2 separate regions of the Mus musculus genome follow, and region 1 is reported to be linked to region 2. Evidence: microRNA targets listed by miRTarBase, many of them from high-throughput screens and not tested one by one. Region 2 holds a microRNA gene; the other region holds the end of a gene's coding sequence.

Evidence for each region. The annotated mature microRNA mmu-miR-5118 reads AAGGUUAGGCCAGCCUGGU and lies in region 2 at 7,410-7,428, shown strand. An mRNA with a match to its seed (bases 2 to 7 or 8) in the 3' UTR can be bound and repressed. Matches are read on the target gene's strand: a 7mer-m8 pairs with bases 2 to 8, a 7mer-A1 pairs with bases 2 to 7 and ends in A, and an 8mer does both.
Region 1: the mRNA of Gpatch8 is a reported target of mmu-miR-5118. Seed matches in the 3' UTR shown: 8mer at 7,455-7,462 and 7mer-A1 at 9,087-9,093.

What each region holds. Positions count from the first base shown.
Region 1 is chr11:102,468,986-102,485,119 of GRCm38, reverse strand. It overlaps Gpatch8 (G patch domain containing 8), which reads left to right. Exons shown (of 8, transcript NM_001159492.1): 8 at 3,033-9,205. The coding sequence ends at 6,927. It overlaps Itga2b (integrin alpha 2b), which reads left to right and starts at 15,237. Exons shown (of 30, transcript NM_010575.2): 1 at 15,237-15,595. The coding sequence starts at 15,408.
Region 2 is chr16:55,487,361-55,503,494 of GRCm38, forward strand. Mir5118 (microRNA 5118) reads left to right here and starts at 7,371; the gene lies at 7,371-7,437. Gm45968 (a long non-coding RNA gene) reads right to left here. Exons shown (of 6, transcript XR_001782016.2): 2 at 8,682-8,797.

The DNA.
Region 1 (16,134 bases), not on the chromosome of region 2:
CATAGCAAGATAGGCGGTAAACACTGGCTTTAAAGCATCTTAGTAGTTCTGTTGTAGGAGCTGGAACGTAGCTTGTTATAGGCATCATTCTATAACAACACACACACCAAAGTATAATCGTTTGAGTTTTTTTGTTGTTTTGTTTTGTCTTGTTTTTAAGATTTATTTGCTTCATGTATGTAGATATTCTGCCACTTGTCTTCAGACACATCAGAAGGTGGCATCAAATGCCCATTACAGATGGTTGTGAGCTACCATGTGGTTGCTGGGAATTGAACTCAGGACTTCAGGAGGAAGTCAGTGCTCTTAACTGCTGAGCTATCTCTCCAGCCCAAGTGTAATCATTCTTGCAGTTCAACAGGGGTCAACAGCATGGCTCAACAGGTAGAGGAGGTGAGCCTGAAAGCCTCATCAAGTCCCAGAACCCAAACAGCAGGAGATGACCAACTCTACAAGTTGTTCTCCGATATCCACACATGTGCCATGGCTTGTGTACGTTCACACACACAGTTAATAAAATGTAACAAAAAAATACATTAAAAGCCGGGCGTGGTGGTGCACGCCTTTAATCCCAGCACTCGGGAGGCAGAGGCAGGTGGATCTCTGAGTTTGAGGCCAGCCTGGTCTACAAAGTGAGTTCCAGGACAGCCAGGGCTATACAGAGAAACCCTGTCTCGAAAAACCAAAAAAAAAATAAAAATAAAAATAAAAAAAGAAATACATTAAAAAGAAAATTATAGAATTATTAATGTTTAAGCTGTGTGCTATATGTGTGCTATAATGCCTGAAAGATGAATCATTCCTTTATTTGCTATTTCCATGCTCCCTATCCATTGATTGGAAGAAAAAGTCCATATTCCTATAACTTGCATTATAAATTATAAACTTATAAATTAAACTTTATTATAATGTAGCCTCTCTCTCTCTCTCTCTCTCTCTCTCTCTCTCTCTCTCTCTCTGGATGTGTACATGTGTGTGATTAAGTACAATCCAGTGTCATGTTTTCTGTGTAGCCCTGGCTGTCCTGGAACTCACTTTGAAGACCCGGCTGGCCTCAAACTCAGATATCCCCCTGCCTCTGCCTCCCGAGTGCTGGGATTAAAGGTGTGTGCCACCACTGCCCATCTGATTTCTAAAACAAATATAACCACATGGTAGTCCAGTAGAGGCTTCCAGCTATGTTTAATTCAGAATGTGTATGTGTATATATTAAATTTGTAAGCTGCATATATACTTGTAAATCCAGCCTTCTGGATTCAAACTAGTATCTTCTACTGCTACTACTCCTTTCTCCTCCTCTTCCTCCTCCTTTTCCTCCCCTTTCCCCTTCCTTCCTTCCTTCCTTCCTTCCTTCCTTCCTTCCTTCCTTCCTTCCTTCCTTCCTTCCTTCCTTCCTTTTTATTAAATGAAATTTGAAGGAGGCTAGTGAGATGGCTCAGTGGGTAAGAGCACCCGACTGCTCTTCCAAACGTCCGGAGTTCAAATCCCAGCAACCACATGGTGGCTCACAACCATCTGTAACAAGATCTGATGCCCTCTTCTGCTCTTCTGGTGTGTCTGAAGACAGCTACAGTGTACTTACATATAATAAATAAATAAATCTTTAAAAAAAAAAAAAAAGAAATTTGAATGGAGTGTGGTAGGGCATAGCTTTATTCCTAATGCTCCGGCTAACCTCTGAGTTGAAGGTCAGCCTATATACAAAATGAGTTCTAGGCTAGCAAAGGCTACATAGTGAGACCCTGTCTCAAAAATAAATAAATAAATAAATAAATAAAATAAAAGTAAAGTTTGAAACGCTTCCCACCAGCTCTGTGTAATGGAAGAAGATAACCAACTCTCAGGTCCTAACCTCAACATGAATGGCATGGCATCAATGAACACACAAATAGAAAGAGAAATTTTTTTAAATGTTGTCTAGGATGAACTAGAACTCACTGCATAGATGAAACCAATCTTGAATTCAATAGTAATCCTGTGTCTCTGCCGCCTAAGTGCTGTGCTTAAAGGCTTAAACCACCATGCCCTGTAGAATAACCTTTGGAATGGTTGTATATCCGCATAGTTGATTATATGCCAGGTTACGGTAGGGTGGTAGGAAGATTGCAAGCCCAGCAAGATGGCCCAGTGGGTAAAGGTTTTTGCCACCTAATTTCAAACCCCAGAATCCACATGGTATATGGAGAGAACTAGCTCTAGCCTCTAAATACAGACCTTTAACATGCATTCTTTCTGTCTATCTCCCCCCCTCCCCAAGTAAACAAATACATGTAATCTTGAAAGTGGGGGCGCTAGAGAGATTGATTGTTCAGTGGTTAAAGAGCACTAGATGCCCTTCAGAGAACCTGGATTCAATCTCCAGTTCACATTCTTTTATAAACTCTAATCCCAGGGGATCCAACGTCCTCTTCTGACTTCCAAAGGCAATGCATACATGTAATACACAGGCATACATAAAAGCAAAATGTGCACATAAACTTAAAATAAAATGAAAAGGAAAAATTTGTTTTAAATATATGATTGCTCTAATACATGATTTACTCTGTCTGCATGTACACCTGCATGCCAGAGAGGGCATCAAATCCCTTTAGAGATGGTTGTGAGCTACCATGTGGTTGCTGAGAACTGAACTTGGGACCTTTGAAAGAGCAACCAGTGTTCTTAATCACTAAGCCATCTCATCAGCCCCAGAGAAAAATTTTTTTTTTTTTTAAAAAGGCTTGGTAACAGATTAAAGACGAAACTGTGAGATGCTATTGGTAAAGAAGTTGAGCCTTTTTGTAGGGCAAACAGCTTAAAGGATAGCAATAGCTTGCTGGCCTTGGGAATTTAACCTGGTACTTGAACCAAATGAAACTTTGCCTACCTCCGTTCAATAAGTCCCATTCATCAGCACATTGCTAGGGACAGCCACTCTGGATCTTTGAGACCAACCTATGATGAGTGGAAGGACAAAAAAGACGAATGTTTTATATAAGATCTATAACTCGAATCCTCTCTTTTGTTTTCTCACTTTCTCAACCACTGTATAGTGCACCGGGAAGCGGGCCCATGTTCCGACCAACCACGGTGGCTGTAGACGAGGATGGTGGAGAAGAGGATAAAGATGAGTCATCAACCAACAGTGGTGCAAGTGCTGTTTCTTCTTGTGGCTTTGGAGCCGACTTCTCCACAGATAAAGGGGGCTCCTTCACGTCAGTACAGATCACTAATACCACTGGACTGTCACAGGCTCCTGGCTTAGCCTCCCAAGGTATTAGCTTTGGCATTAAGAATAATCTGGGACCCCCACTGCAGAAATTGGGAGTATCATTTTCCTTTGCCAAGAAAGCTCCCGTCAAACTTGAATCAATAGCATCCGTTTTCAAGGACCATGCAGAGGAAGGGAGCTCAGAAGATGGAACGAAGGCTGATGAGAAGAGCTCTGACCAAGGGGTGCAGAAGGTGGGAGATACTGATGGCACTGGTAATCTTGATGGAAAGAAAGAAGATGAAGACCCTCAGGATGGAGGGTCCCTTGCCTCAACACTGTCCAAGTTGAAAAGGATGAAACGGGAAGAAGGAACAGGGGCTACAGAGCCAGAATATTACCACTACATCCCCCCAGCACACTGCAAGGTCAAACCTAATTTCCCCTTCTTACTCTTTATGAGAGCCAGTGAACAGATGGAAGGGGATCATAGTGCACACTCAAAGAGTGCCCCCGAGAACAGAAAAAGCAGCTCTCCCAAGCCGCAAGGCTGTAGTAAGACAGCAGCAAGCCCAGGGGCAGAAAGAACAGTGAGTGAAGCTTCTGAGCTGCAAAAGGAAGCCGCTGTGGCTGGGCCTTCAGAGCCTGGAGGTAAAACTGAAACAAAGAAAGGCTCCGGAGGAGGGGAAGATGAGCAGAGTGTAGAGAGTAGGGAGACGTCAGAGAGCCCGATGTGTGAGTCCAATCCTAAAGACATTTCTCAGGCCACCCCAGCAACAAAAGCAGGCCAGGGACCCAAGCATCCTACTGGTCCATTCTTTCCAGTTTTAAGCAAGGATGAAAGCACTGCCCTCCAGTGGCCATCAGAACTACTCATTTTCACCAAAGCAGAGCCTTCCATCTCCTACAGTTGTAATCCTTTATACTTTGACTTTAAACTTTCAAGAAACAAAGATGCTAAAGCTAAAGGGACAGAAAAGCCAAAAGATGTCGCAGGCTCCTCAAAGGATCATCTCCAGAGCCTTGATCCTAGAGAACCGAATAAAAGCCAGGAAGAGGAGCAGGATGTAGTGCTCTCTTCAGAAGGCAGAGTGGATGAACCTGCATCAGGGGCTGCCTGTAGCAGCCTGAACAAGCAGGAGCCTGGGGGTAGCCATATGTCAGAAACTGAAGACACTGGGAGAAGCCATCCTAGCAAGAAAGAACCATCAGGCAAGTCTCACAGACACAAGAAGAAAAAGAAACACAAAAAATCCAGCAAGCACAAACGTAAACACAAGGCTGACACGGAAGAGAAGAGTTCTAAGGCAGAGTCTGGGGAGAAATCTAAGAAGCGCAAGAAACGAAAACGGAAGAAGAACAAATCATCAGCCGCAGCTGATTCTGAACGCGGACCCAAATCAGAACCTCCTGGAAGCGGCAGCCCGGCACCACCGAGAAGGCGGCGCCGAGCTCAAGATGATTCCCAGCGGAGATCCCTTCCTGCTGAAGAAGGAAACAGTGGCAAGAAGGATGATGGTGGGGGTGGTAGCAGTTGCCAAGATCACAGTGGGAGGAAACACAAAGGTGAACCACCAACTTCCTCCTGCCAGCGGAGAGCTAACACCAAACATAGCAGCCGGTCCAGCCATCGGAGCCAACCCAGTAGTGGTGATGAGGATAGTGATGATGCTTCCTCACACCGACTGCACCAGAAGTCTCCATCCCAGTACAGTGAGGAGGAGGAAGAGGAGGAGGAGGAAGAAGAGGAGGAAGATGAAGACTCCGGTAGTGAGCATTCTCGTAGCCGCTCTCGGTCTGGCCATCGCCATTCCTCACATCGTTCCTCCCGGCGCTCTTATTCTAGCAGCTCTGATGCCTCTTCAGACCAGAGCTGCTATAGTAGACAGCACAGTTACTCTGATGATAGCTATAGTGACTATAGCGACCGATCACGAAGGCACTCTAAGCGCTCTCACGATTCAGATGATTCAGACTATACCAGCTCCAAACACAGGTCTAAACGACACAAATACTCATCATCTGATGATGACTATAGCCTCAGTTGCAGCCAGTCCCGAAGCCGATCTCGGAGTCATACAAGGGAGCGATCAAGATCCCGGGGTCGAAGCCGCAGTAGCAGCTGTAGTCGCAGTCGAAGCAAGAGGAGAAGTCGCAGCACCACAGCCCACAGCTGGCAGCGAAGCCGAAGCTATAGCCGGGACCGGAGCCGCAGCACCAGGAGCCCTTCTCAGAGATCAGGCTCCAGAAAGGGCTCATGGGGTCATGAGAGCCCAGAGGAAAGGCGCTCTGGCCGCCGGGATTTCATTCGTTCAAAGATCTACCGCTCTCAATCCCCCCACTATTTCCAATCAGGTCGGGGAGAAGGTCCTGGAAAGAAAGAAGATGGCAGAGGAGATGACAGTAAAGGAGCAGGCCTGCCCTCCCAGAATAGCAATACTGGCACAGGAAGGGGGTCAGAAAGTGACTGCAGTCCTGAAGATAAGAATTCTGTTACTGCCAGACTGCTGCTAGAGAAGATCCAGTCCAGGAAAGTGGAGAGGAAACCCAATGTGTGCGAGGAGGTGCTGGCCACCCCTAATAAGGCTGGGCTCAAGTACAAGAACCCCCCACAAGGTTACTTTGGGCCTAAGCTCCCCCCGTCTCTTGGTAATAAGCCTGTTCTTCCAATGATAGGGAAGCTTCCAGCTACCCGGAAGTCCAATAAGAAATGTGAAGAGTCTGGCTTAGAAAGGGGAGAAGAGCAGGAACATTCAGAGCCAGAAGAAGGGTCCCCAAGGAGTAGTGATGCTCCATTTGGGCATCAGTTCTCAGAGGAAGCAGCTGGTCCCTTATCAGACCCTCCCCCAGAAGAGCCAAAGTCTGAAGAAGCTACTGCTGATCACTCTGTGGCTCCGCTAGGCACCCCAGCCCACACTGACTGCTACCCTGGGGATCCAGCCATCTCCCATAACTACCTCCCGGACCCCAGTGATGGGGATACTCTGGAGTCTCTGGATAGTGGCAGTCAACCAGGCCCTGTGGAATCCAGCTTGCTGCCTATAGCCCCAGACCTTGAGCACTTCCCCAATTATGCACCTCCCAGTGGGGAACCTAGTATTGAATCAACAGATGGGACTGAGGATGCCTCCTTGGCTCCTCTCGAGAGCCAGCCCATCACCTTCACCCCTGAGGAGATGGAGAAGTACAGCAAGCTCCAGCAGGCTGCACAGCAGCACATCCAGCAGCAGCTTCTGGCCAAACAAGTGAAGGCCTTTCCAGCCTCCACCGCCCTAGCTCCAGCCACACCAGCCCTGCAGCCCATCCACATTCAGCAGCCAGCCACAGCCTCTGCCACCTCCATCACCACTGTTCAGCATGCCATCCTACAGCATCATGCTGCAGCCGCTGCTGCCGCCATTGGCATTCACCCTCACCCCCACCCTCAGCCGCTTGCTCAAGTACATCATATTCCCCAGCCCCATCTAACCCCTATTTCTTTGTCCCATCTCACTCACTCAATTATCCCTGGCCACCCTGCCACCTTTCTTGCTAGCCACCCTATCCATATAATTCCTGCCTCAGCCATCCATCCTGGGCCCTTCACCTTTCATCCCGTCCCACACGCTGCCCTCTACCCCACCCTGCTTGCCCCACGGCCTGCTGCAGCAGCTGCCACAGCCCTCCATCTTCACCCACTGCTTCACCCCATCTTCTCAGGTCAGGACCTGCAGCACCCTCCCAGCCATGGGACTTGAGTTGGGAGTCGGAAGCCTGTGTTGAGCCAGGGAAGGTGGCCTGTTCTTCCCTTGGGGGTGTTGAGCCATTTATACCAGCAGGTAAAAGCTGGAACGGGCAGTGTCTTGACAGCCAAAGAAATGAGTTTTGGCTTGCAGGGATGGATTTAGATTTGAGGTTTGCTTTGGGTTTACTATCAGGGATATTTACCCCCTTTCTATTAGTCCCTCCCTCCTGTGTTTCTAAGCTAGGGAACACCAGTAAGTGCTACCCACACTCCTCTGCAGCAACATCTCCAGACTGTCAAGTAAGCCTCCTTCCTCCCTCTACTTTCTGATCCTCTGCACTTCCCCTCTGTAAGTTCAAAACATTTTCCTCCTCTAATGGGTTGTCACCAAAGCACTTGCCATGGGCCCATCTGGTCCTGCCTTCTCAGTGCCACGAGAAAGGCCAGGCTGTCTCTTCAGTGGTGAAAACTCCACTTTTCGGCAGTGTCTTTGACTATCCGTTTGTGACACGTTATCCCAGGTGAGGTGGAAGAGGGAGTCTAACCTAGAACCAAAAGCAACTCAGGCTGCAATTTGATCCACTTTCCTTACAAACAGAGCCATGCATTTGGCACTACTGTCCTCATGCCCCTCATCCCAGAAGAGGCATCTACATATCCCAGAAAAGAAGATCCTATCGTGAGTAGAAGCTACACTGAACATAGGGTCACCCATGTGCTTCCCAGAAAGGAGCTCGTGTCTGAAGGGTATATTTCCTTCTGTTATGTTGATGTTTTCTTCTTAATTTATAGGATTTTTTAATGTAAAATTGCACTGAACTCTATAAACATAAATGCTGCTTTTTGTAGCTCATATTAAAAAGGTTCCGTATTTGTAGTATACTGCAATAATATTTTTTACATCCAGCTCTTTAAGTGATCCTTGTTCTGGTGGCTTTCTGTAAATATGTTTGCCCTAGTTGAATTAAGAAACTTTAAAGGTTATAAAAGAAAAAAAAATAAAATATTTGTTTTCTGCTAGATGCAAAAATGACTAAGCATGTATATTTTATCAACCTCCTGTATTTTTTGAAGTTATGAACTATATAAAAATGTTGACACTTTTTTTTGTTTTGTTTTGTTTGCTGGGACAGTGTTAAATAATTTGCAGTAGTTGGTTCATCCTGCACTGGGACTCTCGGGTTGATGAGCAGCAGGCGGCTGCTGCTGTCAGGAGGATGCACAGTTGCAGTGGTCTCCCTGACGTGCTTTGTTATACAGAGAAACCGTGGACTCCATGGAGGAGGGGAGGATTGGTTCAACAGCTTTATTCTCTGGAAGCAGTGACACTCGGTGATTGTCTGGGAAAAGGGGTCCTTTGGTTTCCCTGGGTACCTTGTTCCAGACAGTCTTATTTGCCTTCCTAGTATTTAGCCCCCTCTGACAATTTTTTAAATGTGCCTTGTGGGTTGGCTAGACACTAAAATAGAAGTAGACCAGAGGATACTAGAGTTGGGACAGTTCTCTCTTTGTTGGGAGGTGAGCACGTTTATAGGTAGAGAGATTTTTGGCTTCAAAGTTCTGTGCCGTCTGCCCAGCTCGATTGCTATTTCAGCAGTAGAGGTTCCTTTTTTTTTTTTTCTCCAGTGACACTGACCAGAAGTCTGTCCATCCCTCTCCCCTTTGCCCTTCCCCCAGGCTCTCAGCCCTCCTTAACACTGACCCAAAGGTGCTTGTAATGCAGGTCTCATCTCCTTTGTTAGTGCTCTTCCTATGACTAGAACTGGTTAAGCAGTCAACTGACTGTTAACCCTGCTTGCCTAGGCCAAGGTTCTCTGTTCCTGCCTTCTCAAATTCCCAGCAGAGTGGGCTGTGTTAGGGAAGTGAGTGCTGGGCACTTGAGGCCCGTCCCTGCCTGAGCTTCTCCTACCTTCTGCTCATTGTCCCCTTACAAGTATCACTTTTAGGATAACTAGCCCTGGAAAAACGGTATCTGTTTGAAGTGAAGGGACTGGTTCTTCTTGCTTTCAGCCCGTGTAAATATTTAAATAAAACAGTATTAACATTTTTGTGCTGCTTCTCGTTAGGTTGTAGATCTAGCCATGCTCTGGCCGCCTCTGCCATCCTGGAGGTAGTTTTCCTTAACTTCCAGAATAGTGATTTTAAAACTTTAAAAAAAAAAAGGGGGGGGGATAACCTATCCTTACATACAAGCATAACAGATTGTATCTAACTTTATCACATATGATAGAGATGTATATGCTGTAAAGTGAGGGGAAGGAGCTTTCTAATAAACCAGTGCTTTGTGCAAACTTAGTGGAGTCTGTTGTGATTGCTGCTGCATAGGCTGGGGCAGGTGGGAGTGTGGGTTACAAACAGTGTCCTGTTGGACGCAGTCTGATAATGGGCCCTCTAGGCTAGCTTGAAATGTTGAAAATTGTTATGAGCACTCAGGTAGCCCATGATCAGGATTAGTTTACCTTAAGATGCTTTACCTGGATGCTTTTCCAGTCTTAGGCAGGTGACTGGAAGTGTGCACTTAAGATTCATCTGCTGAGCCTTTGACCTCCAGGTGAAATTCTGTATTACCAGGCTTGAGTTACCATAGTCAACTCTGATTACCGCTGTAATGTTGGAGTGCTTCTGCCTGGCCTATAAGCCTGAAGCCAGCAAAAGTCTTCATCCACACCAGGAAGTCACATCAGGAGGGGCAGGGAGAGCTGGCATGGAAGGGGTCCAGTGATGGCTTCCCTCTTCCTCAGTATCTCAGAGCTGTGTGATGTCTGTCTCCTCCCTTATTTGGATACAGTTGTTTGCTCTCTAGCTACCACAGCTGAGTGCTCAGAACTGTGCTTCAAATGCCAAGCATCTTTGTTCAGACAGTGATAGAAATTGAAAAGTGCATTTCTGAGAGCAAGGAAGGTGGCAAGCAGAAAAGACAAGGCCGCATAGCCTGAGCTCTGTCAAGTCAGTTGTTTTATTCTGATAAGGGCTCAGCCAAGCTAGTCTTGAAACATGAAAGTACTCCCTCTTACACCCTGGAGGACTATTTATCTATTCTTGTTGCCACAGAAAGCTCCACCTCACCCACACCAACTCAACCAGCTCTTTCCTAGCTGGCGTTCCTTGGCTAGAATCTAACCCCCTGCCCCATTAAAGCGTTGCATCTTTTCTGAACCCAAGTGCCATTCATCCTACATTCAGTGCTTCAAGTAAAGTAGCGCACGCCTTTAATCCCAGCACTCAGGAGGCAGAGGCAGGTGGACTTCTGAGTTCATAGGCCAGCCTGCTCTACAGAGTAAGTTCCAGGACAGCCAGGGCTACACAGAGAAACCCTGTCTTAAAAAAAAAAAAAAAAAGTCAATCATAAGCTTTGAGAGGACATTTTTCTTAATGTAGGAATGCTCTTGTCTACATGTATACCTACATGCCAGAAGAGGGCATCAGATCCCTTTTGTAGATGGTCATGCATCACTGTGTGGTTGCTGGGAATTGAACTCAGGACCTCAGAACAGCCAGTGTTCTTTACCACTGAGCCATCTCACCAGTCCAGCAAGGTAATTTTTAGATCTCCGTAAAAAGAGATGAAAAAGCCGTAATAGAAGCTTGATGGTTGTAGATTAAATGATGCTTAGACAGAACTGGGTTCCTTGGCATTCCATGCCCACAGACTGATGGAATAGGAAAGCCAGTCCTCAACCCACTTTCAGACGCAAGATAACCCAGTTCTGACACCAAAGCAATGCAGTCCTCCCACCTCAGGCATCTGGTTTTATTTAATGGTAACACACCCCATCAGCCAGCCAGGGACCAAGCCTTTGGAGGACATTTGGTCACTTCCAGCTACTAATTTTGTACTTAGTTGCTTTTTCTGTCACCTTGGATGGCCTTGGTGGGTTGGTATAAGGCTCAGGCTAACTTCAAGCTTGGTGTGTCATCTTCCTCCCAATTGCTGGATTATAGTCTTGTGTCACTATGTCCATCTCTGCTGTCTCATTCTTTTTTTTTTTAAGATTTATTTATTTATTGTATATGAGTACACTGTAGTTGTCTCCAGACACACCAGAAAAGGGTATCAGATCACATTGCAGATGGTTGTGAACCACCACATGGTTGCTGGGATTTGAACTCAGAACCTTTGGAAGAGCAGTCAGTGCTCTTAACCACTGAGCCATCTCACAGCCCTGCTGTCTCATTCTTAACCATCTGGTTCAGGCGTTTAACCACCTTTAACCCAGAATTCTGCCCTACCCAGCTGGGTTTAACACAAGATCTTTCCTTCCTTCTCCATTCCTTGTAGCCACAGGCAGCCAGTGTCATATTCTAAATTGAATCTCACTGTCTTAGGGTGTCTACTGCTGTGATAAATGCCATGACCAAAGCAAGTTGGAAGGGAAGGGTTTTCAGCTTACACTTCCAAATCACAGTTCATCATCAAAGGAAGTCAGAATTCCTACTCATTCAGGGCAGGAACCAAGAGGCAGGAGCTGGTGCAGAAGCCGTGAAGGGGTGCTGCTTACTGGCTTGCTCCTCATGGCTTGCTCAGCCTGCTTTCTTACAGAACCCAGGACCACCAGCCCAGGGATGGCCCCGCCCACAATGGGCTGGGCCCTTGCCTCCTACAACTCAGTCTTCATGGAAGCATTTTCTTTCTTTCTCTCTCTTTTTTTTTTTTTTTTTTTTTTAGGGGGTTGGTGGGTGGGTGGGAGGGAAGAAGCATTTTCGTAATTGAGGTTTCCTCCTCTTAGATGACTTTAGCTTATCCATCTCTGATAAATAGATGTCAAGTTGGCATAAACCTAGCCAGCACAATCTGTTTCCTAATTTTATTTTGTACTTGAACGCTGGCAAGCATGTAGAGCTGGTACCCCTGCCACCTTGTACAATGAGGATGGAACGCGCACCATTAAGCCTGCAGACCTCTGCTGCCCCTGAGCCATCTCACTAAACCTGGTGACTTAATCTCTGATTTCCTAACATCTTTAGATAGCTGGCCATGTTAACACAACCTTTAATCCCAGCACTCAGGGAGCAACAGGCAAGCAGATCTCTCGAATTCCAGACCAGCCTGGTCTGCATAGTGAAACCCTGTCTCAAATAAAATGAAAATCTTTAGAACGCTCCATCTCTGATAAATAGATGTTCAAATTCCTTAGTGTGGCGTTCAAGTCCCCTTCAGTGTTGTGAGTCCCTGCCTGCCATTCCTGCCCTCATAACCCACCCACCCCTTACGCACTCCTCACTTAGCCCTCTACTTCCTCCTCTTGATTCCTGAGCTCTGGTCTCCTGCTCTGGTTACGTGTATTATTCCCAGTGTCAACCAGACAAAGCAACCTGTGCTTGAATCCTACCTGTGGCATTCCACCTGTGGACAGTATACCCAGAACTCTGCTGAGGCTAGTCTTTGTCTTCCTAAAATAGTCCCAGCCGGATCCACTTTCTAGAGCCACTTCGTAATTTCTGTTCTCCAAGGCGTACTTGCTGTCCCCGGGTGGCGGTCCTGAGTGTCCTGGGCTTAACCTGCTCTAGACTGAGTTAAGACTCTTGACTTGTCTTTGTAGCTTTTATGTCTCAAACAATAGAAATTGTTTTCTAAAACTCTGGTAAGTGGAGCTGGAGAGACGCAGTTAAGAGGCTTTACTGCTCTTCTCTGCATCCGCATCAGGCAGTTAACAACTGCTTGTAACTGCAGAACCAAAACCCTCTGGCCTCTGTGGCACTTGTACACACATGGTGCTAATAAGCACACACACGTGAACAATACGTTTAAAAAAATAATAATAATAAAGCTTGTCACATGGTATGCACTTTTAATCCCAGCACTTGGGAAGCAGATGCTGGCAGATCTCTTTGAGTTTGAGGTTAACATACATGGTCTACAAAATGTCAGGATAGCCATGGATACACAGAGCAATCTTGTCTTGAAAAACAACAACAAAGAGTCTACTCCAGTGCATAAACCAGCATTAGTAGTGGCATCCCTGGAGTCTCAGCTCCAGAGGTGGAGGCAGCAAGATCTGAAGTTTAAGGCCAGCCTGGGCTATTGAGACCCTGATTTGAAAAGAGGCCACAAGGGGTAAGAGTGAAGGAACAAAGACAGGGAGAAGGCTCAGTGAGTGAAAGCACTCAGTGCCAAGCCTGATGGCTGGAGTTCAATTCCTGAGACCCACATGGTAGAAGAAAACCAATTTTTAAAAGCTGTGAACCCGCCAGACGTGGTGGCGCACGCCTTTAATCCCAGCACTTGGGAGGCAGAGGCAGGCAGATTTCTGAGTTCGAGGCCAGCCTGGTCTACAGAGTGAGTTCCAGGACAGCCAAGGCTACACAGAGAAACCCTGTCTCGGAAAAAAAAAAAAAAAAAAAAAAAAGCTGTGAACCCCCATATTCATGCCTTGGCACACATGCCCATACATACATACATACACAAAACGGATTTAAACTGTGGTTAAAAAAAATCCAAGGCAAGGGCCTGGAGAGATGGCGCAGGGATTAAGAGCACTGACTGCTCTTCCAAAGGTCCTGAGTTCAAATCCCAGCAACCACATGGTGGCTCACAACCATCTGTAATAGGATCCAATGCCCTCTTCTAGTGTGTTTCTGAAGACAGTGACAGTGTGCTCACATACGTAAATAAATTAAAAAAAAATTTTTTTAATTGTAAGGCAAAAAACTACCATGTGATGTGAGTCAATATTGGGCTACACAGAACAGACCAACAATTCAGGAAGCACTTATCTGGGAACAGTAGGGAGACAGAGGGTCAGCAGACACTGGTGTGTGACTGACTACATACCTGTCATGTTTTGGCACTGGAAACACACCAGTGAAGAGAGCCCTGAATAAAATCCAAGGAGCTTTCTGCTTAGTGAGGGGTAAAATGTTAGGCTGTGTGCTAAGGGGAGGCATGCGAGGAAGGGAAGAGTTAGGAGTGCTTCAGAAGAGGGGAGAGTGGTAAAGTAGGATAAGGCAGTGGTTAATTCATGGAAATAAAGATGGAGGGGACATGGCTTCATGGTAGAGCACTTGTCCTGCATTCGAAAGGCTATCCCTAGCACTGCAGAAAAGGAGGGGAAAAAAGAAAAGACTTAAAGGAGGGTGTGGCTATAGTCCTACGACCCTTTGCCTTGGGGCAAAAGGCAAGCAAGACCATCAGGGCATGCGTGGTGCTCTTCTGCTCTCTGCCCCCTACCCCCATAGAGAAGGATCTTTTTTTTTAAAGACTTATTTATTTATTATATGTAAATACACTGTAGCTGTCTTCATACACACCAGAAGAGGGTGTCAGATCTCATTATGGATGGTTGTGAGCCACCATGTGGTTGCTGGGATTTGAACTCAGGACCTTCGGAAGAATAGTCAGTGCCCTTAACCACTGAGCCATCATCTCTCCAGCCCGAGAAGAATATTTCTACGCAGAATCTGACCCTCCTCACTTTGTTTACTCCTTCCATCCTTTAGGAAGACTTCAGATTCAGCCTTTCAGCAGCACTACATGCTGGGCTGTGGGCTAGGCCCTAGGACAGCAGAAAGAACCCTTGCTCTCAAAGGACTCGGGTACTCAACCCAGTAAAAAGTGCCATCAGGTACCATGCCCATGTGTGTGTATGCCATGGTGCCATCCTGAGGACTCACGAGGTTTCTCCTAGTCAGTGACTCCGTCCACAAACAGTTCTGGAAGGTTCTATTCTAGCTATCTTTCAATCTATTTTATTTATGTAGATACTGTCAACCAAAAAGGAGCAAAGCTGTTCACTTGAACAGCTGGTGCTCAACCTCGAGGACTGTGAACGCCGCACCTCAGAATGATGTCCTTTTAGCTCCATCTCCCCCCACTTAGGCCAAGACCCATTCATCACCCCTCTGCCCAGTATTGAAGGCTCCAGTGTAACCACACTAAGACTTGGTTCAAGATGGAGACGTGAGGAAAGTGATGGTCAAATGCAACCGGCTGAGGCTGCCCAAAGGCTCATGGGGGAGGAAGTGGGTAAATGTCCTACTCAAAATGATGACAGCCTCTGGTCTTATCAGGGGAGAACAGCTTGCTTACTCCTTCCTCTCCCCTTGGCCACATCACAGCATTCAAGAGCAGGATGGTCAGCTGCATGGGGGAGGTAAGAGCTGTACAACTGTGGGCCATGGCAAAGTGAGCCAGGCAGCGAATTCATGGTTATACTTTCCCAGGCAGAAAGGGATGGTGGCTGGACTTTCACAGTGACAGAGGAAGAGAAAGAGAAAGGGGATTGCCGGGCTTGTGGCTGAGAAACAGAGACAACAGGACATGGAGGTGAGCTTTCCTGGAGAGGAAGGGGAAGCAGTGACTTCCAGCCATCAGCATCCATCCCCGGGGTGGGCCCTCCCCCGTCCTAGTCGACGTCTAGAGGCTATTGCCCTCTGCCATGCCTGCTGCTCAGCCATGAGCTCCAGTCTGATAAGCTGAAACTTCCGGTGGTGGGAACTTCAGGGAAAGGGAAAGAGCTGGCCCATTCCTGTTTAGGACGTTTGGGAAGAAGGAAGATGGCCAGAGCCTCCTGCGCATGGCATTCCCTGTGGCTTCTGCAGTGGACACCACTGTTCTTGGGTCCTAGTGCTGTTCCTCCAGTCTGGGCCTTGAACCTGGACTCTGAGAAGTTCTCCGTCTATGCAGGTCCCAATGGCAGCCACTTTGGCTTCTCAGTGGACTTTCATAAGGACAAACATGGAAGGTGAGCGCTAAAGGACATATGGGCGTTAAGAGAGGTCTGCACCCTCGAATTGCTCCTGTGGACTCTCTCAGTACCTAGATGAGCAAGGTCAGTTCTCCGGTCTGAGTGGAGCTCCTGTCAATGGAGGACCGTTTCCAGGGTGGGTACTGGGGAGAGATAGCAATGGGGAGATGAGCACAAAAGTTTAAAGCTGATGTCTTCCTTTTTCCTTTTCCCCAAGTGTCAGTGATGTGACCGGCTTTACCTCCCTCCCCTCACCCTAAACTGACTGGCAAAGCTACAAGTACCTACCTGGTACACCTTGCTTTCCTCCGTTCCATGCCTCACCTCCTTCCAAATTACAGATGTTTGAAAAGAAGTATTAGATTACTAACAGTCAGTATGGATCAGGCTTTGAGGTCAGACTCCTGGCTCATCTACATAGCTGTGTTTATCCTGAGTGACTTATTGAGATGGACACTGGATTGCCCAGGACTGGGGAATAGTAATTATTCTCAAAGACAGCTGCAAGAAATTATTTCTTCTGCCTGAGAGAGCCA
Region 2 (16,134 bases):
TGACGAACAATGAAGAAGAGGGCAATGGAAGTAAGAAATAATCAGAAGATAAGGTGAAGGGCTTAAAAATGGCACCCTCTCTACATTACAATTACAACATAGCTCATGAGGCCATACCTCATGACTGTTCACTACAGTTACACTCTGGGAGAGCCAGAACAACTATCTTCAGTTGTATCTAAAGCCTACCAGACTTTAGTGGATAACTCCAAACCCACGGTCATAGAGATGGCCTTACTTAAACTCAATGGCTCACAAAACAAAACAAATAGATGTGAATCTAAGAAATAAATTTGTCAGGCTGAAGATATGGCTCAGCAGTTAAGAGCACTGACTACTCTTCCAAAGGTCCTGAGTTCAATTCCCATGGTGGCTCACAACCATTTGTAATGGAATCAGATGCCCTCTTCTGGTATGTCAGAAGACAGTGATAGTGCACTCATATACATAAAATAAATAAGTAATTCTTGAAAGAAAGAAATTTGTACAGGGGACAGATATTCATAATAGGGAAATGGGTGAGAGTAGCCAGTATGTATTATGTTTATGTGTGAAATTGTTAAAGGACAAATTTCATTAAATAGTCATTTAAAGGATGCAAAGTAGGAGAAATAGTCTTCCCCAGGGAAGAGCACGCCAATTGATTACCCAATACCAAATAGTTAGTCCTGAAAATATATGCATACAAGTAATATTATAGGGACTGACTCTGTGTGTGTGTGTGTGTGTGTGTGTGTGTGTGTGTGTAGTGTTTAAAAAAATAAAGTCCAGGCGTGGTGGTGCACGCCTTTAATCCCAGCACTGGGGAGGCAGAGACAGGCAGATTTCTGAGTTCGAGGCCAGCCTGGTCTACAAAGTGAGTTCCAGGACAGCCAGGGCTATACAGAGAAACCCTGTCTCATAAAACCAAAATAACAATAATAATAGTAATAGTAATAATAATAATAAATAAAGAAGCCAGGAATTTGAAAAAGAACAAGAAGAACACACAGAGCTGTTTTAGAGTAGAAAGGGAAGGAGAGAAATGGTGTAATTACATTATAATCTCAAAAAGTAAATAATAACAATTCATCTTTAAAAATATATAGACAGTAAATAAATCACAGTATAATTCCTTGACATATGCTGAACAAACTCAACCAACATACTCTCCCACAGTCCCTCGCTCAGACATGTTCATTGCTGCTTTAGCCACAATAGCTAAGAAATGGAAACAACTTAAATGTTCTTCTAAGATGAATGAATAGCAAAAAATATGGTACATATATACTACAAAATATGATTTAGCTGTAAAGAAAATTGAAATCATGAACGTTGCAGGTAAATAGATTGAACTAGGAAAGATCATATAAAGTGAGGTAACGCAGACCCTAAGAGACAAATTCTTCATGTTCTTTCTCATAGGAGGCTCCTAGCTCCAAACTTTCAGGTGTGAGTACATAGCCTGAACCGACTACAGAAACCCAGAAAGTAAAAAGGGACTATTGTCAGAATATAGAAGGTGAGGAACAATGTAGGTGGGTGTGGACTGCTGTCTATATGCAGGTGAGGGCAGGCACAAGGTGAGGTAGGAGCCTGAGATTCGGCAGTGGAAAAGGGAGGCCGGCCGGGGATTTTAGAGAGACGGAGGGAGAGAGAACAGAGGGAAAAGGAAGGAAGATAAATGAAGAAAAGGACGATCCAGATACAGCGTGGCCTTAAATAGCCACAGGTAGCTATGGCTATCTTATAAGGGATGGATAATTACAGGACAATTTGTCTTAACTAGGTGGGCAATTTATATCATTATCAATTGCCTCTGAAATTATTGTGTGGGCATCTTGTGAATTGAGAATTTATTGATATATAAATCTGACTGATTAATTATAAGTTTCTAGAGTTTTGGTTTGCTGGATTAAAGGGATTTGGAACAACTAGCCAAAAGGGGTAGATGGCTGAGAAGGCAGAAGTGGCACTGAGGTGAGCAAACTGGAGCTGGAAAGACTGCCTTATGGGGCTAGCCCAGAGGTGGAGAGAACCCGGGCAGAGAGTAGCTGGGTATTGCACAAATGGTGCAGTTCTTTTTAATATTTCCCACAACCGGTGGGAATAGCAGGAAACAAATAATCTGATCAGAAAAATGGGGAAATTAATGAGCCTCTAATTAGAGAGAAGAAGAAAGATGAATAAAGATGAAAAGGGAAGAACGGTAAAATAACAGTAACAATATCTTAAAAAGTTAAAGCACTTAGACTATTAACTATCTACCACCTCCCCCACAACAAAACTAAAATACATACAAGTCATTGTATAAATACAGATATATGGTTTAAATGAAATTTTCTCATCTAGACGGATAATGCTCCCTCCAAGATCCAAAGATCATCTAACAAATCTAACATGGGAAGCCCTCTTTTGAGTTGTTTCCCAGGATTATCCAAGAGATTCCTGAAACCTTACAGACTATTGCCATTTCCCTTGGTTGCACCACCCAGAGATGAAAAGTAAGTTTCTATTTTTTTTGAAGGCATCATATACTTCAGATACAGGGCCCAGAGGCTCCTGAGCTAGAACTGATGTCTAAATGTCTCCTCCCTGAGTACATGCCACCAAAAGATGTCATGCAAGCTTTCAAAGGAGGGAAGAAACTGAAAGACTCCAAAAGGAGCCCCTCGCTCAGGCCTCAGGACAATAGCGGACACCCAAGAACTCACGATAGACCGAGCTTGTTGCAAACCACATGAAGCTTTATTCGGGGAAAGCCAGAGCTCTGGGGACGACTCATATCCCACGCAGGGGTAGAGGAGTTAACCTCGAGGGGAAAGAGGTCCCAGTTTTTATAGGCCCTCAGGGGAGAAAGGAGAAGGGGGAGAGTAGGGGATTTCCAGATCTAAACAATATCTATTCTAAAATGATTGATTCTTCAAGAAATGGGTATGGGAGGGAGGCAAGGAAAGAGCCTAATGAAGGTTCAGCAATGGGCACACACCTGGTCAGGAACATTGGCAAACACACAGGTTCAAGGAGTGGCCAGAGCATTGTGCACCTCTATTTTTCTAAATCAGTGAAGCTAGTTCTGCTAACACTGACATCTATCTTGCCAATTTCAGGGCTTCTGTGTCCTTTTACATTCTGTCAGGATCTTTCAAAACCAACAGTCTTATCCAGGTGTAATGTTTATGAATCACAAAAATGACCAGCATGGCACAATAACCTTAGCAGTGCAATAGTGGCACACATGCCTCAGACGTAACCAACAGCTCTCTAATTGGACTTCAAGCCAGCTCATCAAAGGGAATCCATGCTTGATGCTGGAAACCAAGCTAACTACTCAGTGCTATTGAAGTGATGGGTCTTAAAGGAAAGCCTACAACTACTGTTTCTAAGCTAAGACAATTCCAAACTGCATTATAAGTATTTGTTCTTGTACCCACAGATAAATATAGTCTTTACCTACCCCTCATCAAGAAAACTTCTCTTTGCAACAGACACAGAGCATTACAAAAAAACCACAACCAACTGAAATGCCATGTTGTGGAGATAATGGATATATCTAAAAACAATCCCCACATGTGAGGTTCATGGGACACTGCAGAACAGGGAAAGATTACAAGAGCCAGAGAATCAGGGAATTTGCTGTGAGACTGTTTCTCCCAGTAATGTCAGACGATATGCTCACAAATTTGCAACAACTTGACTGCCTAAGCATGGGCTGACCAAGGATAGCAGTAGACACTCCAAAAGGGATAGGTGAAAGCCCTTGTGGCCTCAACCCGCACAAAGAACTATAGACAAAGACTGCTGAGGGTGGGAGAGACAGTCTTCCCCCAGGGGAGAACATACAAATCAGTTGTCCAATACCAAATGGTTGGCCTTGAACAAATGTGTAATGTTTTATAAAACAAGTAACATTATACAAACGGAGTGGTTTCTATTTAGGAATATATCTATATTCAAGTCAAGTTCACAGAAACAGAGATCAGAACGGCAGCTGCCAGCATCAGGAGAAAGTGGGGTAGATGTTCAAGGATAATTTTCCAATAAACAAGTCATAAGACATATTGTACCTATAGTTATCAACACTACAGTGTGTGGTCTAAAAACTTTTTAAGGAAGTAAATTTCGATCACTTTGTCACAATTTCTTAAGGGCCACAAATTTTACAATGGTGATAAATGAAGACATAGCTGATATTTTCAAAAGAACATGTAAGAGAAATAATTTGAAAATGAAGGGTGATGAACATTGTGCCAATGCACTTGTGTTTCTACTTTACATAATTTGCATCACATATAAAGCTAATTCATCTGAATATTTAAGAACCTGAAAACAAAACTGTCTAGCTTGGTTTAAAATCCTCCAAAAGACGCATAAAGGAAGGTAAGTAATGCAAGCCTCTTTCAACAAAACTCTAGCATTATCAGTGTATGAGATTTATAAATGGGAGTGATACAGTGATATCAAATGGTACACTATTTAATTTGGATGTCTAGGTTGATATAAGGCATCTTTTTTCTCATATTTTGTCACTAAATTCAAGCATAGAAGTGAACTATACTGGGAGTTCCTTGTTTCTAAATGTCACATTGATTTAAAATATAACACAAGTATTAATTGTTAATATTGACAAAATAATTATTTCTATTATAAAATCACTAATTTTGTCTCACTCTAAAATCCCATTTTATATGCATTCTATAATATATCATAATTGTATCTTGATTTTAAAGCAAATATCCATTTTTGGTAGAGTCGATGAATTTATCGGATGGAATACCTCTAGGATTCAAGTTGGAGAGAAAGCCAAAGGCAGCATTTTGCTCTGTTTTAAACACCTCCAGACTGTGGGCCTCCTTTCTCCCCAGGGTTCGTTGGCCACTAGCCCATCAGGACAAAGGAACAGAGTTGCTGACCAGTGTTTCGGGTGGCCTGGGAGTACAAATGGAAATGGCAACATTCCAGGATCAGCTTCGGGGAGACACATCAACTTTAATTGGCATGAGTCAAGCATTATGTAGTTTGGGGAAGGAGGTAGAAATATCCAGGGTGGGCAAAGGTCACTGGCTTCGGGCTAAGGTTCTGAGATGCCTCACTAGCATGGGGAGGCACCCCAGGAACCTCAGGTGCTAAAAAAAAACCTGTAATCTAGCCAAGACTACACAACATTCTCAAGGTAAAGGACATGGGGGTTTTGAGCTCCCCAGACAAGGTCAGTGAAGGAGAAGCCCTGCTGGTAAAGAGAGTCTGACCTTTTGCACCAGGCTCAGGGCTTTCAGATGTCACACTTCAACCTTAATTACCGGGGTTTCTCCTCCACACAGGGCCCCCAGTCCCTTTAACTGTAGAAATAAAAGCAAGTAAAAGTTTAAAGGACAATCATAGGCTGACAAGAAACAAAGGGAATCACAAAGCATCAGTACAGAAAGTGTGGTTAAGGTAGCCAGAGTGTAGTCTTTGGTGGATGCTAAAAGAGATGGGATGAGAGCCTCCCACCTGATCAAAGAATAAGGATTCCTCCCCGATGCCCTCACAATGCATCCCATGCACACTCTGTTTTGTGAAGAATCAGGAAAAGCTCTACTTTCAAGGTAGATATTATTCCTGAGAAGGAGTTGTGATTAGATCAGTTTGGATAATTTACAATGTGACAGTTCTCTTCCTAACTCTTCCAACAATGTAAATTTCCTCTAAGCAAATAAATAAAGAAGAGCCTTCTCAAAAAATAAGGGCTTCAGAGGGAGAAATCTATTAACCCAATAACTATGTCGTTTAAGAATGACTGCTGTTTGACTGGAGAGATGACCCAGCAGCTAAGAGCACTAGTTGCTCTTCCAGAGGTCCTGAGTTCACTTCCCAGAAACCACGTAGAAGATCTCACATCCTCTTCTGGCATACAGATAGAGCACTCATATACATAAATAAACAAATCTTTTTAAAAATAGTTTTTAAAAAAAAGAATAATTGCTGTTCATTGCCAAAATAAAATGTTTCCAACTCCGAAGCTTTCTCAATTTTTAATGAGGAATCAAAGTAAGAAATGAATTATAATATTGGGCACACATTTGATCCCAGCGTTTAGGAAGCAGAGGCAGGTGGATTTCTGGGAGTTCAAGACTAACATGGTCTATATAGCAGCTTCCAGGATATCTAGAGTTACATAGAAAGACAATTAATTAATTAATAAACAAATAAATAAGACTGCATCCCAATTCACAAAACAATTTTCTCTTATTATAGAGAATATATCTGTTCCATTAAAACAAATTTGACCATGACTTTCTAAATGATTTTTCTTTCCACTGATAAACCCACACCTTCAATTAGTGTCTGTCACCTACTCAGCCGGCCATATCCTCTACATATCCTCTACATATCTACAACAATGTTACTGTTCTCCTTCTTGTACTGGATTATTATTCCATATGTTTGTAAAATTGAACAAGCTGTCCTTCCAAATGAATATGTCTGCAAACTTTTACTGTTCCCATAAGCCTTTGAAGGAGCCAAGATTTGGTCCTTGGAGAGCAGACAGCACCACTAAGAGTTGAATCAGAAGGCAAGGTAAGAGTAAAGTCTTCTGCTCTGTGAGAAACACAGCCGTGTGAAAAAGTGATTACAGAACACATAAAGCACTTGTCGTGTACAAAGGTCCAACCTATAAACTTTCCATCACCCTCACCTATATCTCTATCAGCTCAATGAGATAAGGACTATTTGGCTGACCCCATTTCACAGATGAAGAAAGGAGGTAGTTTGGCCAGCTTACTCTGTCATGGTAGCTCTTAACCATTGTCCTGCCTACCTCCAAAATCCTTCCTTTTAAAATATTAACATTTTCTATTTGCATTCAAGTCAACCAATATTTAACAGAGAGAAAGGGAAACATCGTAACTAGAACACAACATCATAATTGGCATAAAACATTGTCCTGCAACACAGAGAAACAGAGTATCTTCACGGGTTGAATGATGAGGAATAACTGCCCAGGTTTTTTTTTTTTTTTTTTTTTTCTCTGCCTCTGCGCTACAGTGAACCATGTGACCTCTCTGAGCTTCAGCATGTTTATCTTCAGATTAGATGGTTGAGAGAGAAGGTCTCGAAAGACTCACTACCTCAAACATTCTAAGAGTCTGAAAGCTGCTCAGGAGAAAATGAAGCCCAAATCAAGAGAACAATATAAGTAACGTAAGTAGCAAAAATAAGTGAATGAATAAATATTTTTTTAAAAAAAGAGGTACAAACAAAGGAGTTGAAATAGGGGAGAGGAGGGAAGAGGAGACTCACATGGAAAAAGACTCTTAGATGATGGTGTTGAATTACTGAGCTTGCTGGGTGGGGCTATTAAAGAAAGCACTACTTGGTGACACTGACACATGCATTTAATCCTAGTACTTAGGAGGCAGAGGTTGGCTGATCTCTGCTTGAGTTCGAAGGTTAGGCCAGCCTGGTCTCCAAAGAGAGTTCCAAGACAGCCAGGACTACGCAGAGAAACCCTGTCTCAAAGAAACCAAATAAAGGATAGATAGATAGATAGATAGATAGATAGATAGATAGATGATAGATAGATAGATAGATAGATAGATAGATAGATAGATAGATAGATAGATAGATAGATAGATAGATAGATAAGAAGTGTTATTAAAATGTAATACCTTTTATATAACTTGTTGCTTTCAAATAACAATAAGAGCCAAGTCCAGTGGGAGGCAACTAACTACAGCATGAAGTAGACAGGTAATACTGGGGGGGGGGGCGGGAAGGAACACAGGCTGGAGAGCTGGGGAAGTGCTTAGGAGGGACGGGGTTTCCTGGGTGGAGGCTGCAGGGGTGAACCACGAATTCACAGGAAAGAAGAGCAGCACGCCCAGCGGCGCTGAGCCAGGATCACGCATTCTTCACATGCCCCAGATATCTGCTGTCATGGTCATCTCACCCCCAATCCTTCACTCTGTCCTCAGAAACATCTGGCAGGCTAGCGTTGAAACTGTGGGGTGAAAGTCAGCCAAGAGTGTCTAGAAATGAGTTACTTCTCAGATTTAATTACTTCTCAAAACCTGTCTGGAAAGAGGAATGACGGAAGATGCAACCTGGCGCCCTTCCCTGCCTCCTTCTGGAAATGGAGAGAACCCAAAATATCTGAAAGCTTCTAAAAGTTTTGCTGGATATGAATCTTCTGGGTAAACTAATGTTTTTGATTTGTACATAAATCAGATCAGGTTTTTTGTTGTTGTTATTGTTGGTTTTTTAACTGGGTGGGTCTCTTATTGAAGACAATCCCAAGGGACAACATGAAATCACAGGTCCATAGACCTCACTCTGCAGGGAAAGGCGTGTCTGCCTTCTTACCAACTCCAGATCTGATGTACGTAGAAGTTCCTGACCCGGGCCTCTTCCAGATTTTACGTTTGTGAGAGTCAACCAGAGGCCTGAAGCATCTGGAACATTTTAATATCATAAGTTCTGATCTTCCTCATGTATTTGAGAAGTGAAAATACTTGGGCAGTTATTCCTTATCATTCAACCCGTGAAGATGCTCCGTTTCTCTTTGATGTAGGACGTTTCACTCCAATTTTGATGTTGTGTTCTAGTTACAATGTTTCCCTTTCTCTCTGTTAAATATTCTACTTCTTGCTGTCTGAGTTATAAGAACTATTTTAAAGTCAGTTATACGAACTATTTTAAAGTCGGCATTGGGCACTTACTGTATCCTGTTGTCTGGCTTATTTCTCATCAGGAGTTTTTCCTGTTTGTTCCTTGATACCAGGATACCGTGGTGGTCCTGCCCATATGGGGTCGCTCCGCTTCATGTTCATTCCTCCTGAAGTGATGAAGCAGATAGAAAATGAAAGAACAGGCTACACAATACCTTATTATGTGCCCTAGCCCACAACAGAGCTGCTAAGATTGAAAGCTGTAACTTTCAGTGGATTTGGGGCTCAGACATTGCAGAAATAGCTGTTCTAGCGGCTGCTGGGTTGCAGGACCTGGGGGTTGCTCGGAGGCCATTCTGCACTACTTATTTAAGCTGCTCACTCCGTGTACCTCTGTTTCCTCGACTGCCAAAAGGGAAGTGCCTTTCTATGTTTCTGCCTCGTGGCTGCGATTTTGGACTCGTGGGATGCTGGGCCACCGACATGCCGCTGGGAAGGTGAAATTCTGTCGAAGACAGAGGTCCCAGCCCATGTTCTCCCGGTAAGAAACAGCGGGGGCTAGAATGGAAGTTGTGGTTCTCAAACTCCTGTGTACCCAGACACTGCTGGAGACCAGGAGCAGTTGGGAATGGGAGCCAGCAGGTCCAAAATGAGTCCAGGAGAGGGGAATTCAGCTTAGCTCACGGTGAGTGCCAGAAGTAGAGGGGCCTTCTATGGGAGTCATAGGCTTGACTCTGTAGGAGGAAGGTCTCCCAGGCAGTCCTTGATAAAAGAGACAATCCTTGCTTGTCCAAACTGTTTTATTCATGGTAGATGAGGATGAAAACACTCAAGGTAAACCAGAGATTAAATACCATTTGCCAGAAGGGAAGCCCATTGGCTAAACACTAGAGACCTATCCAAATGTCTCATTATATAGAGAACTCTAGGCTCTATGCTACATGAGCAGTTGTCAAGGTCCTCCTAGTGGGCTGTCCTAGTCACGTGCTGCAGAACCAGAACCTGGTCGGGAGCTAGATCGAACTGCTGCTGTTCTCAATTATGAGATTTATCGGTGTTCTGAACTTGCTACGACCTTACCAGTTCTTCCGTCTGGTGGCACAGTCCACTGCCCCACAGGGAAGGGTCATGGTGCTTGCTGTGTAGGGACTATTTGCAACATGAAGTGAGTCCATTCAGGTAAAATGGCATATGGTCCTTAGTGGACACGGTAACCGCTAAGAAATGTTAGTAACTTACTATCTTTAAAATCTTTTGTTCTAGGACCAGGAGTCAATAAGAATTATAGACCTTTCCAGAAAAACAGCTGCCAGACTTCCTCACTGGCAGAAGGCAGATTCTGAGCATATCATGAGACTCCACTCTGAGGGAAGAGCTTGTTCCCTTCTCATATCCATACCCCTTCCTCCTCTAAGTAGGTGACTCCCCATTAGTGAGGCTGTCAAAGAAGAACAAGCTCAGATGGTGGAGGAAACAAAGCCTGTCTACTTTGCTCACATTTCCTGTGTTTATTTCCTCAGCTCTGAAAGTATACACATGAGTAACATTATTATACATACAGGTAACATTACTGGATTGAACAGGTTGTATTTGGGGATATATATGTATACCAATATACATATATGCATGCAATAACAATTAGTGAAACAAGAGATCATGAATTTAAAGAGGATGGGGAGAGGCTTATAGGAGGCTTGGAGGGAGAAAAGGGAAGAAGGAAATATTGTGATTATATCATACCTCAAAAATAAAAGCAATCGAAATTTAAGATAAAAAGAACTGCCAATATAAATGAGTAGATCACTTGCCAAGTACATGCAAGGTTCTGCACTCACTCTCCAGCTACATGCGTACGCACGCATGCACACACACACACACACACACACACACACACACACGGACACACACACGGACACACGGACACACGGACACACGAACACACGGACACACGGACACAGACACACACAGACACACCCCAAAAGAATAATGAATACATCTTAAGGTTTCATTGTGTACTCAACACTTTGCTAAGTGTTTTTACACTAAACAAATTCAATTAGACTTTGTAACAAGCCTATAGAATAGATGTGAATATTGTTTCTGTTTAATAGGTGGAAAAGCCAAGGACTAGAACATGTTTGGACCTCATACTATCTTGACACTTAATTTGCTTGTTTTTCAAATTAACCAACTATAATAGCTAGCTATACATCATTTCATAGTGGTTTATGGAGAACCCCTTCTGTTTTAGGTACTATGTTACTATTGAGAACTGAAAAAAACATTACTTCCATAGAGCTGACATGCAATTTAGATGAGATGGACATTATACATGGCATGTAACATAGCTAGAACATTAAGAGATGATTATTTTAACCGGAGGTAGGGAGCTGCGTAGAGGTCAATAAGAGGAGATCAACATGCAGAGGGAACCACAACCAAAATAAGAGATCTAACTGAGCTTCATCAGGAAGCTGAGATCTGAGCAAGGTCTAAGGGAAGATGGGAGATTTATCGGGGTGGGACCTGGAACAAAAGGAGTAGTATCTAGTGCAAATGCCTTCTTATTATTACAGTTTAAATTTACTTATTATTATTAGAGTTAAAAATTACTTAATTTGTCAGGAAATCAGTGAAAAGGCCAGGATGACCTGGGAAGGAAGTGAGGTCAGCAACACAAGGTCAAAGCCATAGAGAGCCTGTCCGCCATTATAAAGGTGGATTTTACTCTGAATACAATGATTATTAAGTCTTAAATAAAGTAGTACTGTTGGTGAGCTTTTAAAAAGAATCTGCCTATGCAATGTATTGAAAAAAACTAAATGTGTAAGGAAGCAAAAGATAAAGTCAGAGGAACAATTATAGATGTCAGAATAATTAAGATGAGGGATGGCTAGAGATGGCAATGAGGAAGATAGTGAAGTGTTTTGTTTTAGTCCTAAATGCAGCTTACATAAACTAGGAAAGAAGCATGGGAAAGCCCTACAGCTTCTGAGTTGAGTTGCTGGATAGCATTAGTACTAAGATATCATTGACAATATCAAAGCTAGCTTGAGCTCTAAACGATTTGCATGACTGTAGGGGAAAATAAGGGAATTGACTTGGTGCTTGCTTAATTTGAGATGTCTGCTAAGCTACATCCAAACATATCAAATAGGCAGACTGGTGTGTTGTTATAAAGCTTGTGATCCCTGGGAAAACACCATAGACTCAATCCAATTATAATTAAAAGATTTATTGATTAGCTGCTAGCAGAATGAACAATCTCTGAGCCGCATTTGTTTGCTATGAAGGAGGGGAAGGAGGAAAGGCGTTCAAAGGGGAAAAAACCTTATGAAGACCTTCAATATCTATGCAAGCAAGTAAAAAGCTGTTCTGTTGTGACAAGTTAAGTGATTAAGGCAACACAAAATAATCTTTGGGCATCTGTGTAAGCAAGTTCCAAAAGCAATAAGATCAGTTAGTCAAATCACAACAAGTAGACAGTCACAGTTATACATTTTTGGTTGGGGGCCACTGAGCCAGGGTTAATGGGAACTTATCATTCAGGAACTGGAGTCAAAGAAAATTGGCTGCTGGGTACCAAGATAAATGCCTGACATAAAACAGAGGTTCTTTAGACATAAGATTTGTAAGCCTGAATCTCAAGGGGGTCCAAGCTAGAGATGTGACTTGCAGTAGAAGCAGTCACATTCTTGTGCCTAAATATAATTAACTGTATATGTGTAGTTCTAGAGCATTGCATTGCAATTAATAAGTCCTTGAAGACAGATAGCAAGAAAATGAAAACTGAGGGAGAAAAATAGTCAAGATGACCTAGATGTCAATAGATTAAAAGGAGAAGGGGGGAGGGGGGAGTCAGAGGGAGTGATCCACTGTGTCAGATACAACATGAGTCATTAAATTGGCCATTAAAATTAGTCATTCAGAGACCAAAGTTGACTTTAAGGAGTACATTTTGGGTTTAACAAAGTAAAAGAATGAAAGCTAGGTTGCATTGCATTGAGAACAATGGGAGAAGATAGGCTGTAAGAATAGAAATATGGCAGAGAAGCACCTGAAAAAATGTTCAACATCCTTAATCATCAGGGAAATGCAAATCAAAACAACCCTGAGATTCCACCTCACACCAGTCAGAATGGCTAAGTTCAAAAATTCAGGTGACAGCAGATGCTGGCAAGGATGTGGAGAAAGAGGAACACTCCTCCATTGTTGGTGGGATTGCAGGCTTGTACAACCACTCTGGAAATCAGTCTGGCGGTTCCTCAGAAAATTAGACATAGTACTACTGGAGGATGCAGCAATACCTCTCCTGGGCATATATCCAGAAGATGCCCCAACTGGTAAGAAGGACACATGCTCCACTATGTTCATAGCAGCCTTATTTATAATAGCCAGAAGCTGGAAAGAACCCAGATGCCCCTCAACAGAGGAATGGATACAGAAAATGTGGTACATCTACACAATGGAGTACTACTCAGCTATTAAAAAGAATGAATTTATGAAATTCCTAGCCAAATAGATGGACCTGGAGGGCATCATCCTGAGTGAGGTAACACATTCACAAAGGAACTCACACAATATGTACTCACTGATAAGTGGATATTAGCCCCAAACGTAGGATTCCCAAGATATAAGATACAATTTGCTAAACACATGAAACTCAAGAAGAATGAAGACTGAAGTGTGGACACTATGCCCCTCCTTAGAATTGGGAACAAAACACCCATGGAAGGAGTTACAGAGACAAAGTTTGGAACTGAGATGAAAGGATGGACCATGTAGAGACTGCCATATCCAGGGATCCACCCCATAATCAGCATCCAAACGCTGACACCATTGCATACACTAGCAAGATTTTATCGAAAGGATCCAGATGTAGCTGTCTCTTGTGAGACTATGCCGGGGCCTAGCAAACACAGAAGTGGATGCTCACAGTCAGCTAATGGATGGATCACAGGGCTCCCAATGGAGGAGCTAGAGAAAGAACCCAAGGAGCTAAAGGGATCTGCAACCCTATAGGTGGAACAACATTATGAACTAACCAGTACCCCGGGGCTCTTGACTCTAGCTGCATATGTATCAAAAGATGGCCTAGTCGGCCATCACTGGAAAGAGAGGCCCATTGGACACGCAAACTTTATATGCCCCAGTACAGGGGAACGCCAGGGCCAAAAAGGGGGAGTGGGTGGGTAGGGGAGTGGGGATGGGTGGGTATGGGGGACTTTTGGTATAGCATTGGAAATGTAAATGAGCTAAATACCTAATAAAAAATGGAAAAAATATCAGATAAAAAAAAAGAATAGAAATACAATATAGGAAAACACTTAAAGGATTTAGGAGAAAAGGAGTTGAGTCAGCTGGATGGCTCATTGGAGAGGTTGAGTAATAATGTTGCTGTTGTTTGGGGATGGAGATGCAATTCCTGTTTGTTCACTGAGATGAATAGTAGAGTAGATACAGGGAACAGATGGGGAGAGGGGAGAAATACATAGACAAGAGAAGATATTTGCTGGAGAAAATTTCCCACAAACCAAAGTTGAAATAGGGTTTATGAACAAACTGTAGAGTTTGTTCTACAGGAAATAGGATATATAGGACATCTATAGTACCAAGTGGGAAGAAATTTCGAATCGGAGGACCATGATAGAGACCATTTGAGAGTCCAAGGCGATATCTGCTCTAACAAAAAGCAAATTCTGTCAACATGAAAGTAGATTGCAAGACATTTATTATAAAATAGTATAAATAAATAAAAATGTAGAAATAATAGAAGGAAAGCAAGAGAATGTGGAGTCTGTGCCTGTGAAAGAAGAGAGGGGGATGTGCAGAGCCTTCCACTCCAGGGAGAGTCTGGAAGTCTGAGACTAATGGAAAGCTTCTACACTAAGATTTACTTTACAGATGTTTTGCATCTGACATGAGGGTACAGCTCTATTAGACTCTCCAGTCATTGGCCTGGGCAGTGTCGGTGAAGAACCGCCATGATATAAACCTCTGAACCCGAAGTGTGCAGTACCTACAAGCTATCTGGCTACTTCCTGCTTCTGACGGATCCTCAGCAGAAGAGCTCAGTGACAAACCTCTATGACTGCCACCAAAGCACAAAGAGATGAGAGAAGAAGCAAACTACCATCTGTGATGGCAGGTAGAGAATGGGTGATTCTCAGTCAGCGTGAAGGGTCTTTTGAAAATCACGTTCCTGATTCATGTTGTGCTTTTGCCTGGATGTGCATAGATGCTCAGATTTAGGGCCCAGGGCAAAGAGAAAATAATTCCGTCAGGGTAGAAGTCTAAGCCATTGAATACAATAAAGCAAGATAGGGGCTTGAGGTATTTGAGGACGTATGCACAGAAGTGAGCAATAATTGACAGAAAGAAGGACATCATGACTTAAAAAAATAAGTAATCAAAGAAACAAACAAAATCAGTCCCAACAGACAGAAAACAAATCATAAACAGATTGTGCTAAAATAGGGCATAGATGAAATTCAGATACTAAAAAGAGAAGACCAGAAATAAGACCTTATGATTAGTGATCAGAAGATAGGACACAAAAGTTGAGACACTGAATTGTAGTTATTAGAAATAAAGGGCCTTGTACGTTACCAAGACAAGTAATGATGATGGTGGATTAAAGGGCAGTTAGAAAGCGGAGAGAAAATTCAGAACAGAAAGTGGGCAGTTAGAGACCTTACTTACATGTATGTTGAAATTAGCAAAAATAAGAAAAGAATAGTAAAAGGGAAACTAATGAGGAGCTGGCAACTAAAATTCACTCATGAACTAATAATTCAAAGGGCAGTAGTGATGGGAAGTGGAGAATACAGTCTGTGTGATACTTATGGTTTGAGGGAGTGAGGGAGTGTGGGAGAGCAATGGGACCCCCTAAACTGCCTCTAGACCCATGGGTACCAGTGCTTTGACAGCTAAATGAACCTTGGCCGATGGACAGAGCCCTGGAGGGGATAGAATCCTCAGGGCAGACATTGGTTTGGGTCAGGACAGGAAGTTAAAACTAACGTGTCCTCTTTTCCAAGTCTTCAAATCGGTCTTAAATAAACTTTGTTACTGTGCACCTTAAAAAAAAGTAACAAGCATTCAAGGTCAGCTCAAGAGATGTGAACCTGGAAGGTAGCTCGTTTTACTTAAAGAGGGAGCTATAGGTGCTAAAGAACTCAGTGGTTAAGAGTACTGGCTGCCAGTATAGAGGAATGCCAGGGCCAGGGCCAGGAATGGGAGTGGGTGGGTTGGGGAGCAGGGGGAGTGGGGGAGGGGATAGGGGATTTTCAGAAAGGAAACTAGGAAAGGGGATAACATTTGATATGGAAATAATGAAAATATCTAATAAAAAAAAAAAGAAAGAAATGTCTTTTAAAAAAAATGAGTACAGGCTGCTTTCACACAGAACCTGGGTTCTGTTTTCTGCACCCATGTGGCAGCATTCAACCATCTGTAACTACAGTTCCAGGGGATCTATCACCCTCTTCTGGCCTCTGTGGGT